2 linked regions of the Notamacropus eugenii genome follow. The protein of the gene in region 1 purifies or fractionates together with the protein of each later gene. This does not show direct contact. Links are inferred from orthologs where the notes say so. Each region holds a gene or a part of one and is shown on either strand. Other genes may lie near its edges.

Region 1 (7,979 bases):
ATCTCTTCTGCCAAGCTTTCCTCCCTTCCTCACTTCCCTATTACTGACAAGGATTCCACTATCCTTCAAGTCAACCAGGCTCACAATCCAGGTGTCATCCTTGACTCCTTCCCCTCTCTTACCCCTCACATTCAACCAGCTGTCAAGTTCTGGCGACTACTTTTGTAACATCTCTCCCATATGCCACCTTCTCTCCCTCTGACCCTGATATCACCCAGTGTAGGCCTTTATCACATCTTTCCTGGACTATTTCAGTGGGCTACTGATTGGCCTCTGCCTCAAGTCTCTCCCCACCCCAGTCCATCCTTCACTCAGCTGTCAAACTGAAAATGCAGGAATGATTGCAACTCAAAAACCAAACCAAACCAAACCTCTGCTCTCTCCCTGTCATCTATAGGATCAAATATAAAATCCTCTTTGGGAGCTTTTAACGGTTTTAATAACCTGATCCCTTGCTAGCTTTCCAGTCTTCTTATACCTTCTTCCCTTTCCATGAACTCTGTAATTCAGTAATAATAGTTTCCTTGCTGTTAAGCTACACAACACACTATAACTCTACTCAGGGTATTTTTACTGGCTATCCCCCATAACTAGAATTCTGTCCCTCTTCATCTTTGACTTTTGGATTCCTTTTACTAAGGTATATTTACTAAGGTGATTACCCTGGCTCTCTTAAGTCCCAGCTAAAGTCCTTCCTTCTATAGGAAGACTTTCCCTTTCTGCCTTAATCTTATTGCTTTCACTCTGAGATGATCTGTATCCTGTATGTATCCCATTTGTACGTAAGGGTTTGCACATTGTCTTCCCCACTGTGGGTTACTTAAGAGCAGGAGCTGCATTTTTGTGGGGTTTTTTAACAGTGTCTGGAACATACTGAAGACTTCATAAATACTTGCTGGCTTAACTTGAATTCAAAAAAGGTATCTTTTTTTTCTGACTCTCATGAACAAATACAATCTCTCACAATAATTGACCAAAAGTATAAAAACATTTCAGGACTTGCACATGATAGTGCGTGCAATGTCCTTTGACATAGAAAGACCCTAGGAGGAGAGGTGGAATTATCTAGGAATAAGAACAGCTGTCAAATGCCATGATGGCAGAAAGGAGTTAGGGAAACTGTTAAAGTGCAAAGGCACTGGCAGATTGCGTTAACGTCCAACTGGGACACATATGGGAAACTTGAATGATGCACTGCCCAATGCATGTTTCAACAACAAAACCCCAATATGTGAAATGAAATATATTCCAAATATTTGGAAAAAAAGCATGTATCAGATACTCTACATTCCCTTAATCAGCAATTGAAAGCAAAAAGCCACAAAGCTAAAGTAATCTAAGGAGTCAGAGAAGTGCAAAGAACAAGATAAACAATTTATTATCAGTTAAACACTTTGGTACAGTCTTGAAAATAATATTTCCATAGCATTTGAAGTTTACAGATCACTTCATGTGTTATTTTATTCTCACAACCTTATGATGTAGGTACAATTTTATCCATTTTACAGATGAGGAAAATGAAACCAAGGCAGGTTAAGTCTTACTTAATTGAGGTTAAGACTTACTTAAGTCAAACTCCAGACGTCCTGATTCCAAGTTCAGTGTTCTATCCACCACATCATTTAGAGCATCAGAGGAAAGAGAGGGTTGCTGAAGTTGGAATATGTGAACGTTTTTGGTCATTTATAGTCTATTGTCATAAGAAGTACAAAACAATGAAAATTCAAGTTGGATTAAAAGAAAAAGAGATTGTTTGCATATGATGATGATGATGAAGTATCATTTATATAGTACTGCAAGGTATACAAATTACAGACAGGTGGCTCAGTGATAAAAAGCTGGGCCTGGAGTCAGGAAGACCTGAGTTCAAATCTTGCCTCCTGCAGATAAGTCACTTAACTTTTATATGTCTCAATTTCTTCATCTGTAAAGTGGAGATTAAAAAGAACATGATTATTGTGAGGATCAAATGAGGTAATATTCATAAAATGCTTTGCAAACCTGTGTTATATAACTGCTATTATTATTTTAACAATTGTATTTACTTACAAGAACACCCATTTTGTAGACCTGAGCAATAGCCCACAGAACATTAAATACACAAGTAGTATGGCAGCTTGTCCCTGTCCATCAAACTAAAATAAGGAAATTTTCATCATAATAATAGAGGTATGGACTGGACCTTTGATTTAATTTTAATTAATTTCATTGTAAATTTCAAAATTTTGAGAATTCCCAGATGGGGAAATTCTTTCTACCAATGCAAAGTTAAAACCTGTTCTGCAATTTATAATCTTAGAGAGGCAGCTAGAGCATTGAGAGTAAGTGACTTGTGTAGGAGCACAGAGTCCATATGTGTCAAAGGTAAGACTTGAACTCAGGTCTTCCTGACTCCAATTCTAATGCTCTACCCACCACACCACCTAGTTGTCATGTGTCATTGTATTAATTTGTTGTCGTTCAGACATTTTTCAGTCATGTCTGACTCTTCATGATCCCTTTTGAGGTTTCCTTGGCAAAGATACTGGAGTGGTTTGCCATTTCCTTCTCCAGCTCATTTTATAGATGTGGAAACAGAGGCAAATAGGGTGGATTGAACTGCCCAGAATCATACAGCTGTGTATGAAGCTGGACTTGAACTCAGGTCTTCCTGCCATCAGGCCCAGTACTCTATGCACTGCACCACCTACTGTTATCCACACAATAGGTGTTCAAAAGGAAGGCTGGGAATTCTAGAAGGACCCTTAATGGACAATGTGATGCAGGATGAGAAGGCTTGGATGGGTCGTGACCTGCACAGTTAGAAGGCACATCCACTTGAAGGAGATCATAGACTCATTGAAATACATGGTGTTTTTGACTCTCCATCTAAATAGTAATCTGTCTAGAATCAGGGACTGGCTCTGATATTTCTTTTGCCTCCTCCATGGTGCCCAGCATGGTCTTTCATACAGACAAAATAAATTGATATTTTTCTTGCATGGGATATTTAGGCTTTTAGTCCTGGAGCCATCTTGTGTGATATCTACTTATCATGGTGGAGTGGGAAGTATACGAGGGTAGGACACCATAACAAGGAATGCTGGGCTCTAGTCCTGAGCTTTGTGACTATGGGCAAGTAAGTTGTTTCGAAATGCAGAGTCTCTAAATCCTTACATGTAAAAGGGAAGGGTTGGATAATATGGTGTCTAAGATTTCTTCAGCTCTGCACAGGGGTAAGCTAGTGAACATTTATCAACACAGTTCCTATGAAGAATAAGTTTGCATATACTTTCAAGTTTAATCTGCATTAAGAATTCTTTCTTAAATCTAGAAAATCAACAAAAATAATAAAGAAAAATTAACCTTTGTCAATTTCCTAGGTATGATGACATGGAAAATTTAACTATCAGCTCTTTCAGGATGGCTAGATCTGACCCCAGCACACCCCTGGGTCTGACACAGCCAAAACAATGTCTGTTCTAAGGCTTCTTCTAACTTTGAAATTCTGTTTTAAGGGTCTTCCTAGCTCTCACATTCTAAGTTCTAGGGCCCCTCCCACTTCTAATACTCTGTCCTAAAATCCTTCCCACATTGCACATTTTATCTTCCATGGTCCCCAGAAGTTCTAAAATCTCAATTTCCCTCCCCATGGCCCACCTGTTTCTTTTTTTGTTTCTCTTTTCGGCCCCTCCCAGCATTTCTTCCTGCATCTGGCCTGTTTCTCTGGGTGAGGAGTTAATTGGGCCCAGATGCTCCTCCTCCTCGTGACTTGGGGTGTTCCTGGCTTGGAGATTTATCAGATTGGGACGGATTAGGTTGGATTTTCCTCCCATATGTAATCTGAGAATCTGGCATCCATAGATCCTCCCCTGGGCAGACTATGTTGGTAGATATATAGTTTGCAAGGGAGGGGGTAGAATCACAAACCTAGGGAGCAAGGTGAAAAGGGAAGGGCTTCACTACCCCCTTCTCAATAAGTTACAAACCAGCTTGCTATTGAATAAACTTAGGAAATACAGCAAGTAAATGTTCTGAATTCCCCCCACACAGAATCATAGTGTCAGTGCTGGGAGAGTCCTCAGAACATTATCCAACAGTCAATCAGTCAGCAAGTTTATATTAAGTGTGCCTGGCATGCAGGAAGCACCTAATGAATACTTGTTGACTGACTATGTGACAGGCACTGAACTAAGTGCCGGGGATGGAAGTAAAAGCAAAAACAGACCTCAAAGAACTTACATTCTACTAGGGGAAACTAGGTGGATTCAAGCAGCTAGATGTCAGCGAGGATAGACACCAGGTCTCCAAGCCTCAGACACTTACTAGCTAGGTGACCCTGACCAAGTCACTTAACCCCGTTTGCCTCAGTTTCCTCATCTGTAAAATGAGCTGGAGAAGGAAATGGCAAACCACTCCAATATCTACCAAGAAAACCAAAGAGTGGCCAGGATTGAACACGGAGATTCAAGATTTATGTACACACAGAAGAGAGGGGAGGTCATCTGAGAAAGGCGGGCACTGGGGAGGACTGGGAAAGGCTGTGAACCGAAGCTTGAAGGGCGTCAGAGTGTAACCAGGAGGCTGAAGTGAGTGTTGGGGCATTCCAGGCATGCGCCATGTTCCGGGCAAAGGCGCAGAGGTGGGAGACAGCGCTGGTGTAGGCTGATCACGGTGTTCCCGGAGGAGCGGGATCCTCGCCTGAGACTCCCGGCTTTGGCCTGGTTGGTTCCCCGGTTTCCACAGGAGGCCTTTCCCAGGCCTCGGGTTCTCCTCCCGCCCAGGGCCCAGCGGCCTCGATGTCCGCGCCTCCAGGCGCACTTAAATGCGAGTCTGGTCATCCTCTCCCTGACGTCATGGTCTTTGGGCACACAAACACAAGCAGCTCCTTGGGTTCCCTTGGGGCACTAGGCGCCCTCTGCTGGCCGTACCTCCTCCCCACAGGTTCGGTTGGTTACTTCGGCGGCCCCACGCCTGCGCACACGCGAGCTCTCCCGGCGAGCGTCTCCGCCCCACCCCTCTGGCCCTGGGGGGGGGGGCGTGGCTTGATGTGGCGTCACACCCGCTTCCGGCAAAGCTTGGCGTGCCACGTGACTCTGTTTCGGGTGGAGCAAGATGGCGGCGCCCAGGAAAGCAGCGTGAACGCTTTGCCGGGGGAGCCCGAAGCGCGCAGCCTGTCGCCATGTCGCGACTCATCGTCAAGAACCTGCCGAGCGGGGTGAGCACGACTCCTGGGGTTTCCTTAGGGGAGGTGGGAGGATTCGGGGTGCGGGGAGAGGCCCCGTCTTGTACCCTGCGTTCATTCCGGCGGTCTGCCTCCATCCGCCGCTTCTCGGGCCTATCACCGGACCCCGAGACCTGGGGGTCGAAGCCCACCTTTGGCAAGCTCTTCCAGCTAAGATCTACGCGCTTAACCTTCGGCCTCAGTTTCCTTCTTTGTAAAATGAGGGGAGGGGGTTGAACTAGGTGGCTTCCGAAGATTCCTTTTTCTAAGCCTCAATTTCCTCATCCGTGAAGTGGGGGTGACAGTATATCCCCAATTTCACGGTCACTGTGGTCTCCCGATGCCGCTTTGTAGCCTGGGGGTGACCCTGGGTACATAGTAGGCACTTAACAAGTGCTCGATGATGAATCGATTGCTCAGCTTCTCCTAGCTAGTAAATAACACGTTCTAGGTTGTCTTAACTCCCAGTCTAGTGCCCGTGGTGTCCCCTGCACCCTGCACTTTGCCTATAGTGTAGACCATGGTAGTCTGTTTTTGGGAAGCGAATCACAGGGTGATGCTTTCTTTCAGCTATGGTTATCTTCTGAGTCTAGGAATAGTTTGTTGTGTTTGTCCTTCATTCTCGAGGAGGATCGTGACATCAAAATGGTGATGATAAATAAATATAAAATAATAAATTTATATTATATGTAAGTGAATAATGATATAATCTGGTAGAAGGAGTGCCCCCACTTAACTCCTGTCTGTTTGCCTGCAGCATGGAAGCTTCTTGAGAGCAAGGACTGTTTTCATTTTAGACCCCAGCACAGCACAGTAGTACCTAGCACCGAATAAGTACTTGCTTCTTGGTTGATACAAAGTTACCGATCTTGGAAAGTAAGTAGGGTTATTATGTAACAGGTATTACAGGACTGTAAATTATTGTTACTTCCTGTCTCCCATCCAAACAATTCACTGGATCCAAGATCGCAGAATCTAGAGCTGGGAATCATTTAATCCAATAGTATCATTTTATGCTGGAGGAAACTCCTGAAGTGGACTAGTTCATTAGTCTGCTCCCATCACTACACGATGCATCCCTGATTGTCAAGAGTCTTAACTGGGAATTTCTGTTCTGCTTTAGTTCCTTTCTCCATCCCCATTCAGTGACTGGGCTTTTGTTCAAGGTAATGGTCCTCAACATTCCTAAGCTATTGTACCATCTCTGGCATAGGAAAGTGCCTTCTGTACAGAAGGCAGGGGTAGGGCAGTTAGAGGGAGGATGAATTGTACAGTGAGGGAAATGCTTTTTATGCCTTTGAGGAGACATGAAGGGTGGCTCCTTTGGCAGAATGGTGGTGCTCTATTCCTGGTGCCTCAAAGGGTCCTTTTTCTCTCAGTTTGATTGGTCTTTTGCGAGATGAAAGTATACTACGTTAGTGATGAAAGTATACTACGTTAGTGTTCTTGGTCACCTCAGAGCACTTTCCAATGGGAGTTTAAAACAATAAGATAGAATTGGGCATTTCAGAGAAGTGCGCTGTGTCATCTAAATAGCCTGAGGTTGGACCAGCGTTGGTAGAGTTGGCACATTTTGAAATTATAGCACTTTCTGTCTATCTGTCAAGCCTTCCCTAAATCTTCAGATTTTCAGATCTTTCCGCTGTGGTTTCTTCTAGAGTTGTGAGTGATATTCCAGCCTTACATTACAGCACCTACTTGCCGCCTGCGATACCCTAAGGAGAGCTCCCAGCTTTATGAATGTCTGGGAGGAAGGATAGGCTCTTAGATCTAGACCTGAGAGGGACCTTAGAGTTCTATTAGTCCAGTCTCTCACTTTACAGTTGATGAAACTGAACCAGCCCAGGGGATGGTACTAAGTGGCTCAGCCAGGATTTGAATGTAGGTCCCAGGACTCCAAAGCCAGGGTTCTTTCTACTGTACCATGCCCTGTAATAGATAATGGAGATCTGTAGCCTAGAGATCATGTAAGCCAGGAGTTCTATGAACTTGATTTTTAAAAAACTTTTGGTAACTGTTTTTCTTTAGAATTGTTTCCTTTATAATTGTGTGTTTTATTTTATTTTGAATTTTTATTTTAGACTCAACACCCAAACACAAATACAGAAAGAAAAAAACATTATAAACCTAAATGTTGGAACTTAAATACAAAGCAAGAAAGAAAACAAGCATGTTGTGCATAGCAGAACATAAAGCATGTCATGTGCGTAGCAGAACATAAAGCATGTCATGTGCGTAGCAGAACATAAAGCATGTCATGTGCATAGCAGAACATAGAGCATGTCATGTGCATAGCAGAACATAAGAGAGGATGCAAAATATGTATCAACAAATTTTCATTTCAAGAAAGCCTGTATGATAAATACTACATGTTGTGTTAAGAGCTGTCCATCTTTTCTTTGCTTCCTTGTAAGTTTTCTTTTGTTCTCTGCTGGGTACTTTTTACTCTGATCTTCCCCCCCCACTCAAGGCTACAATTAAGTGTAGATATATTTCTCTGTAGCTATAGATACACACACACACACACACACACACACACACACACACATATATAATGTGTTTTATTTTATGCATTTAAAAACATTCCAAGGAGAGGTCCGTAGACTTTACCAGTTTGCCAAAGAGTCTAGGACTCAAAAAGGTTAATCCTTGGACTCGATCAACCTCATTTTTACAGAGGAGGAATCTGAGAACCAGAGAAGGTGATTGATTTGCCTATAGCCACACACTGTGCCTGAGTGGAAGAGCTGAAACTGGAGTAAGAAGGGCAAAGCCC
Region 2 (6,904 bases), on another chromosome or scaffold:
CCATCTCCTTGAGAGCTTGTCCTATACCTCTCCTCTGCTGCATAGCCAAACTCCTGGAAAATGCCTTCTTTAAGCCATTGACTCTGTCTTCTCCACCCCTCCACCCTCCATTTACTTTTCAGTTCTTTGCAACTGAAATCTAGCTTCATCACTCAACTGAAATTGCTCTCTCCAAGGTCACCAATGATCTCTAAATGACTACATCTAATGGCATACACTCGAATCTCCCTCATTCTTTTTGACCTCTCTGCATCAGATTCTACTGCCCATCCCTTCCTCCTGAATACTCCTTCCTCCCTGGGTTTTGAAGACACAGCTTTCCCAGATCTCTTCCTACCCTTTTGTCTGTACCTTCCAAGGGACTGGACCAAAAAGTGTTCTTAATCTGGAGTCCAAAAACTTTTTAAAGAAATATTTTGATAACTTTTTAATCACAACAAGATGTGTTCATTAAAGTACCTACTATGTACCAGGCATTGTGCTAAGTACTGGGGTTTTTAAAGAAAGGCAAAAAACAAAACAAAAACCAAAAACAAGCCCCAGATCTCAGGGAGTTCAGTGTAATGAAAAGACAACATGCAAATGACTATGTACAAATAATCTTAAGTAGTTAAATTGGAGATAATCAACTGAGGGAAGGTCTTTAGGGAGGATTAGGAAACATTTCTTATAGAAAGTAGGATTTTAGTTGGGCTTGAAGGAATCTAGGGAAGCCATGAGGTAGAGGTAAGGAGGGAGAGTATTCCAAGTAGGGCAGCCAGCCAGAAGTGGCATGGAGCTAGACTTGAGTATCTTGTGCAAGGAACAGCAAGGAAGATTGGATTGAAAAGTATGTGGGGGTTGGGAGGGAGGGAAGATCTCCAAGGTAGGATAGTTATGAAGGTTATGAAGGCCTTTGAATATGAAAGGATTTTAAAATTTGATCCTGGAAGTGATAGGGAGCTAATGGTGAAGGGCGGGGGGAAGGGAAGGTGATATGGTCAGACTTGGCATTTTAGAAAGATCACTTTGACAGATGAATGGAGTAGGGACTAGAATTGGGAGAGATTTGGGGCAGGTCGCCAATAAGCAGGCTATTGCAATGGTCCTGGCATGAGATGATGAGCGCCTGCCTGTACCAGGATGGTGGCAGGATCAGAGAGAAGGGGCCAAATTGGAGATATGTTACAAAGATAAAATTGACAAGCCTTGGCAATAGATTGTGAATGAGGGTGAGAGGAATAAGTCAAAGATAACACCTAAACTGATGCTTTGGGGACTGGGAAGATGATGGTACTCTTAAGAGTAATAGGGAAGTTAGGAAGAGAGGAGGAGATTGTGGGTGGTGTAACACTTACAGGTGGTAGGAGATAATGAGTTCAGTTTTAGATACGTAAGATTAATATGTCTACAGGACATCCAATTCAAGATGGGCAGCAGGCAGTTGGAGAAGTAGGACTGGAGTGCAAAAATATTTATAGCAGCTCTCTTTGTGGTGGCCAAGAACTGGAAATCAAGGGGATGCCCATTAGTTGGGGAATGGCTGAACAAGGTGTGGTATATGAATGTAATGGAATACTAATGTGCTATAAGAAATGATGAATGAAAGACTTTAGAGAGGCCTGGAAGGACTTAAATGAACTGAATCTGAGTGAAAGGAGCAGAACCAGGAGAACTTTGTACACAGTAACAACTACAGTGTGCAAGGAGAGGAATTTTTCTGGTAGACTCAGCCCTTCACAGCAATGCAAGGACCTAAAAAATTCCCAATAGACTCTTGAGGCAAAGAGTGTTCTACATCCAGAGAAAGAACTATGGAATTGGATTGCTGAATGAAGCAGACTATTTTCTCTTGTGTTTTTTTTTCTCATGATTTCTCCCATTCCTTTTAATTCTTCCATGCAACATGACTAAGGTGAAAATGTATTTAGTAAAAATGTATGTGTAGAACCCATGTAAGATTGCATGCTTTCTGGGGAAGGGAGGGGAAAAAGAGGGAAAAAGGAGGGGGTGGAAGGGGGAGGAAATCTAAGATTTATGGAAGTGATTGTAGAAAACTGAAAACAAATTAATAAAAAGAGAAGTGGGACTGGAGGTCAGGAGAGAGATTGGATCTGAAAATCATCAGAAGAAAAGATTACTGAAACTACTGGAGTTGATGAGATCACTCAGTGAAACAGTACCTAGGGAAGACAAAAAAAAAGGGCTCATGACCACACCCAGATTTAGTTATAATTGGTTTACTTTGTATAAAGGTGATAGTGAAACTATCCCATTTGGTTCTGATCCCCATAGTAGATGAGAACGTTTTGATTCAATCAAACAATCAGAACTGAGTTTGAACTGGCTCCTTGTGAGAGATTGGATCCCACTCTTTATCAATTTGTATAAAAGGAAGAAAGTAGAATTGGGATGAGTGAGTGGAGAAAGATTCTGAGCCACTGGATTCAAGAGGTTGGAGGAGCAAAGGGAATACTGAACAGTGGAAGACAAGGAAGTATCTAGGAGAATTGCATCTTGGAGAAGAGGACCCAGGATGAGTCAAGTCCCAATCAAAGGTCAGCTCTATAGATATTACAGTATAATCTCCTGTTTCCTTACCCAAACGTCTCCTGTAAAATGAACTTTGCCTCAACCACTAACCAAGAGTTAGAAAGAGATTTAACATAAGGTTAGGCAAAAAGCCTATATGTCAGGAATTTTCTTAACTAGGGCTCTTTGCACTTATTACTGAACTCTGAACTTTTCATCTAAAACTTTGTAAAGGTGAAAGCACCAAATGCACTTCAAGAGCCATAATATTTCCTTATAAGTTTAAAAATGAGCTTGCTATTAAAACATAATAGAAAATTTATTGTGCTAAGCACAAAAAATAATTTATAACCACATATTCCATATCATGCATTTAAAATCTTATTCTGAGACTGGATCAGTAGTTTTCATTTTTGTATCACAAGGATCGACACAAAAAAGGTTAAGGATTCCTGGGCCAGCTGATGTCTAAAGTCCCACTAGCGCTGGGGAACTGCATGCCCTCGGGCCCCTCCACCCATTTATTCCCCCTTCAGCATGCAGCGAGTGAACTTCCACCTCGCAGGGCGCAGAGCCCGGTACCTGCCAGTTCTCTGGTTCCTGCCTCCTGCCAAGGCCCGACCCAACATCCTCCACAAACCAACTTCTCCCTGCTCCCGCCCGCCCCCATTTTGCTACTGGGTACCTTCCCTATTCAGGCCCATACGACTCTAGACCCCTCCAACATAAAGAACCCCACAACCCAACCCTTCCTGCTCCGGGGCCTGATTCGCCCCTGGGGTTCCCCCGACACGAATTATTCTAGGTCACCCCTTAATTAAGCTCCGCGGCCCTTCTTCGGGGTGCCGGAGCGAACGGGGACAGATTGCGCATGTGCGGAAACTAGCCGCACGCGCAGGGCCTCACTGACTGTTAAGTCGTCTTGGAGTTTCCGCTCCTGTTTTAGGACTACGGTTTCCGACAGTCATCAAGGTACCCAAGTAGTTTCGGGGAAGCGCGCCGGAAGCACCGAAACCTACAAGGCCCGACCGCAGAGGCTAGTGGGATGTGTAGTTCATGAACGCCTCAATAACTCTCTTTACTCAGGAACCCCAATTCTGCCCAAAATGTAGCGGTCTTAACTCCCGACGAACAGAGTCAAGGTTAGGGCGTCCTCTGGAAGCTCAGGCTTAGGCTGCATTCGCAGGCGAAGGGATCAATCTAGAGCCAGGATTTCAATCCCAGGAAGCTCTGCGGCGGACAGGCCGCCCGGCTCGGTATGCCCTGTAGTTGGGCGCGGGGCTTCCTGGGAGCTGTAGTCCCCGAGTTGCGTTACGGCGTTGGCGGAGGGGAGGGCGGAGCTGCCGGCGGCCCGGGCGGGCGGGCAGCTAGAGAGAGTGCGATCGCCGCTGCCGCCGCCGCCGCCGCCGCTGCAGCCGCCACTATCGCCGCAGCCGCCGCCGCCGCCAGCTCCGGGGCCGTTCGCCGCTGCGGGGAGCGAGAGGCGGAGGCGGGGCGGGTGCCGCGATGGAGCCCGACTCGGTGATCGAGGACAAGACCATCGAGCTCATGGTGAGTGCGGCCCCGCCGGACCCTCGGCCCCGGGCCTGCCCAGCGCGATCGGAGGGCCCGAACCCTCCCACAGCCCCGATTCCGCCTCCCCTCCCCCCAGCACTCCCCGACGGAGGCCTGTCCTGGCTCCCCCCGCCCTCCCTTCCCACCCGATTCCTCTTCGGGTCTGATCTTTTTCTCCATTTCCCCTCCCTACTCCTGGCTCGCCGACCCGATCCAGGGATCCCCCTCCCCCCTCCAGTCCCCACTCTTGCTCCCGAGGACCCGTTGCCTGCTCCCTGGCCCGTGACCCCGACCCGCCGTCCGGGTGATCTCCCCTCCCCCATCCTGTCCCCTTTGCCCCTCCCCCCGCCTACCCCCACCAGGCAAACACACGCCCCCAGCACCCCAAAGGGTCTTCTTTCCGACCCCTTCCCCCTCAAATCCATCCTGGCTGATCCACCTAGTCCGGAGCCTTGGGCCGCCCCGCCCGGTCCGAGCCTGCACTCTCCCCCTCACCCCCATCCCTGCCCCCGCTGCATTTCTCGTGATTCCCTCCCCTTTTCCCCTCTAGACTAAGAGAGAGGTAGAAGAGAATGGAAAAGGAGGGTCAGGGAAGCCCCAGTCGCCATTGCTTCTCATCCTCCTCTTCCTCAAGCCTCGGAGGCCTCAGTGCACCCCCTTTCTCCTTCACCCTCAGTCTTGAAGTAGCTAACCCTCGTCCCCCCCGACCCGAGTAAGAGCGCAGAGTCTGTGAGTGCTCCGGATAATCGGTTGGGTGTATTCCGGGAGCTCGGTTTTCTGGGAGTGACTGATTTATAGCCCCGGATCTCCCGGGCTTCTCTGGTGACTGGATTATTGGGGTTGATCCGGACAAAGGGCTTCTGACATTCTGCGGAAATCCCGGCAGCTGCTTCACGCTGGAGGGCTCAGAGGCTTCTCTGAGGATACAGTATTTTAACTGAAAGGAAGAGTAGCTGTTTACTCATTTTTTTCTGTGTTTGCAGGGACAGTGAAGCCCTGATAGGCCCTTAGTACCTTCCAACTATTCTGCAAAAGCAAGAGGCTATGACTAATTGATGGGGTAAATCAGCCTTGTATTAGAAACCAGTGCGGGGTTAGGGAGCAGAGCTCCAGGCCTGGGGAAAGTGGATCTGGAACCAAAACAAGTCTTTGCAGAAATGGGTGACAGGATGGTATAAGGAAGAGTAACAGTAGTAGAAGTGGAGCATTTTAAAATTTCTTATTTCTCCCATGATGACTGACTGAAAGACGTATATATGGCAGGTGGTACCTGCCAATTTTAGCGGCTGAGGAAATCAATCATAGGGAATATGCTGGGTGGATAACTTAGTGCACATTCACCAGTATTTTAAGGCTAGTTTCTAGTCTAGGCTGTATTAGCTTCTCTACCCAGCACTTTTGCTACAGAAACCTTGATGGTTTCTTTGTATCTAGTCTAACAGTAACAAGTTTTTCCCTGAGTTGAAGGAAAGGAGGACAGAAATCACTTGTCAAATTATATCAGAAGGTTTTCATAGTCAGATTTTTCTCAATTCATGAATGCCTATTGAGTCAAAGATTCCACTAGGTAGGGTCAGTGACATCAGAGCCACTTCCACATTTAATGCTATAAATAATAAATGGTGACTACTCTGAATGCCCTTTGGATAGCTACCCAGTTTCAGTAGATGTTGATATATTAAGGACAGAGCCACATTTTTTTTTCAGATGGAAGTACAGTAGCTTAAATATGGAGGTAGCTCAATATCTACTGTCTTTTTGCTTTATTTAGATAACTAAATTTCCTCAGTGCTTTGAACACTAGAACCAGATCATTTTCCCCAGAAAGTTTTCAAAAAGTATATTTGTATAGTATATTTGTGGCATTAAAAAAAAACAAACCATGATATCGATCATTTATTGAGTAATTTTGCTTTTTAGCAGTATTTTATAGCCAGCAGTAATCTATTTAGGCATTTGATACACACTTACAGTATGTTATTCTGGCAAAAGATACTGTAACAAGGACTACCACTCATATATACTTAAACAGTATAAACATTTAAGATTGAAATTTAAGTCTAAACTTTTAAGCAGAATTTTTCATATTGAAACATTGTGAAACAAAAATGGTTTGATTAGGCTGATAATGAGCTGCATATCTTGGTAACTGAATACTTATTTTTTAAAAAAACTACAAATCATCTGTTTTCCTAATTACTTGGTTAAGTATAAATGAAGACCAACATCTTTATGTTAAAATGAACTTTTCAGTCTCAAAGCCTAAAATCTTAATCTTCTAAGGTTCAAACTTTAGACCACAAAAGTTTTTGACTAATGTGACAGTACTTGTCTCTGTTCTAACAAGACAGCCTTCTAAAGCTAGTGAAAAAAAATAAAAGCAAACTCTTTACCAGATGTACAACACATCTGGATATTCATAGAACATGTTTAATAACCCTAAAGCTATAAGGGGGTGCAGGTGGGGGTGGGGTAGAAGCTTCATCTAAGACTTTGCTGTTCTTTGTGGGATAAACTAGTTAAGACTATTAAAGCCTTTCCTCAAAGCCTTTTTTTTTGTACTTGTGTTGGTATATTAGGGCAGGTAAATATAATATATTTAAAGCTTGAGTGACAGTATCTACTGATAAATTAGAAATAGTATCAGTGGATCATTGCTTGAGACTTTTCTTTGGTTTATATTGGGGCAGCATCCTCATTCTATAAATAAACAGATCTTTTACACCAGTTTTTAAATTCTTTAATTGATAAGGAACTGTAGAGAACCCAATCGATCTACTACTGTGAAAGTTTAAAAAACCCAAAGCAGGAAAGTTTGTTTTATGAGTCCACTTAGGTA

Evidence for each region. The genes of interacting proteins can lie anywhere in the genome.
Region 2: the proteins of RBM19 (region 1) and FBXW11 purify together in Homo sapiens (affinity purification with mass spectrometry; 3 studies listed by BioGRID and IntAct, with this or other methods). This does not show direct contact. The link is inferred for Notamacropus eugenii from reciprocal best matches to the Homo sapiens genes RBM19 and FBXW11.

The regions. Positions count from the first base shown.
Region 1 is NC_092875.1:32,094,785-32,102,763, forward strand, and holds the start of RBM19 (probable RNA-binding protein 19), read left to right. Parts: upstream 1-4,971; 5' UTR 4,972-5,161; coding exon 5,162-5,197; intron 5,198-7,979. UniProt on the Homo sapiens protein: Plays a role in embryo pre-implantation development.
Region 2 is NC_092872.1:403,849,769-403,856,672, reverse strand, and holds the start of FBXW11 (F-box/WD repeat-containing protein 11), read left to right. Parts: upstream 1-3,889; 5' UTR 3,890-4,017; coding exon 4,018-4,062; intron 4,063-6,904.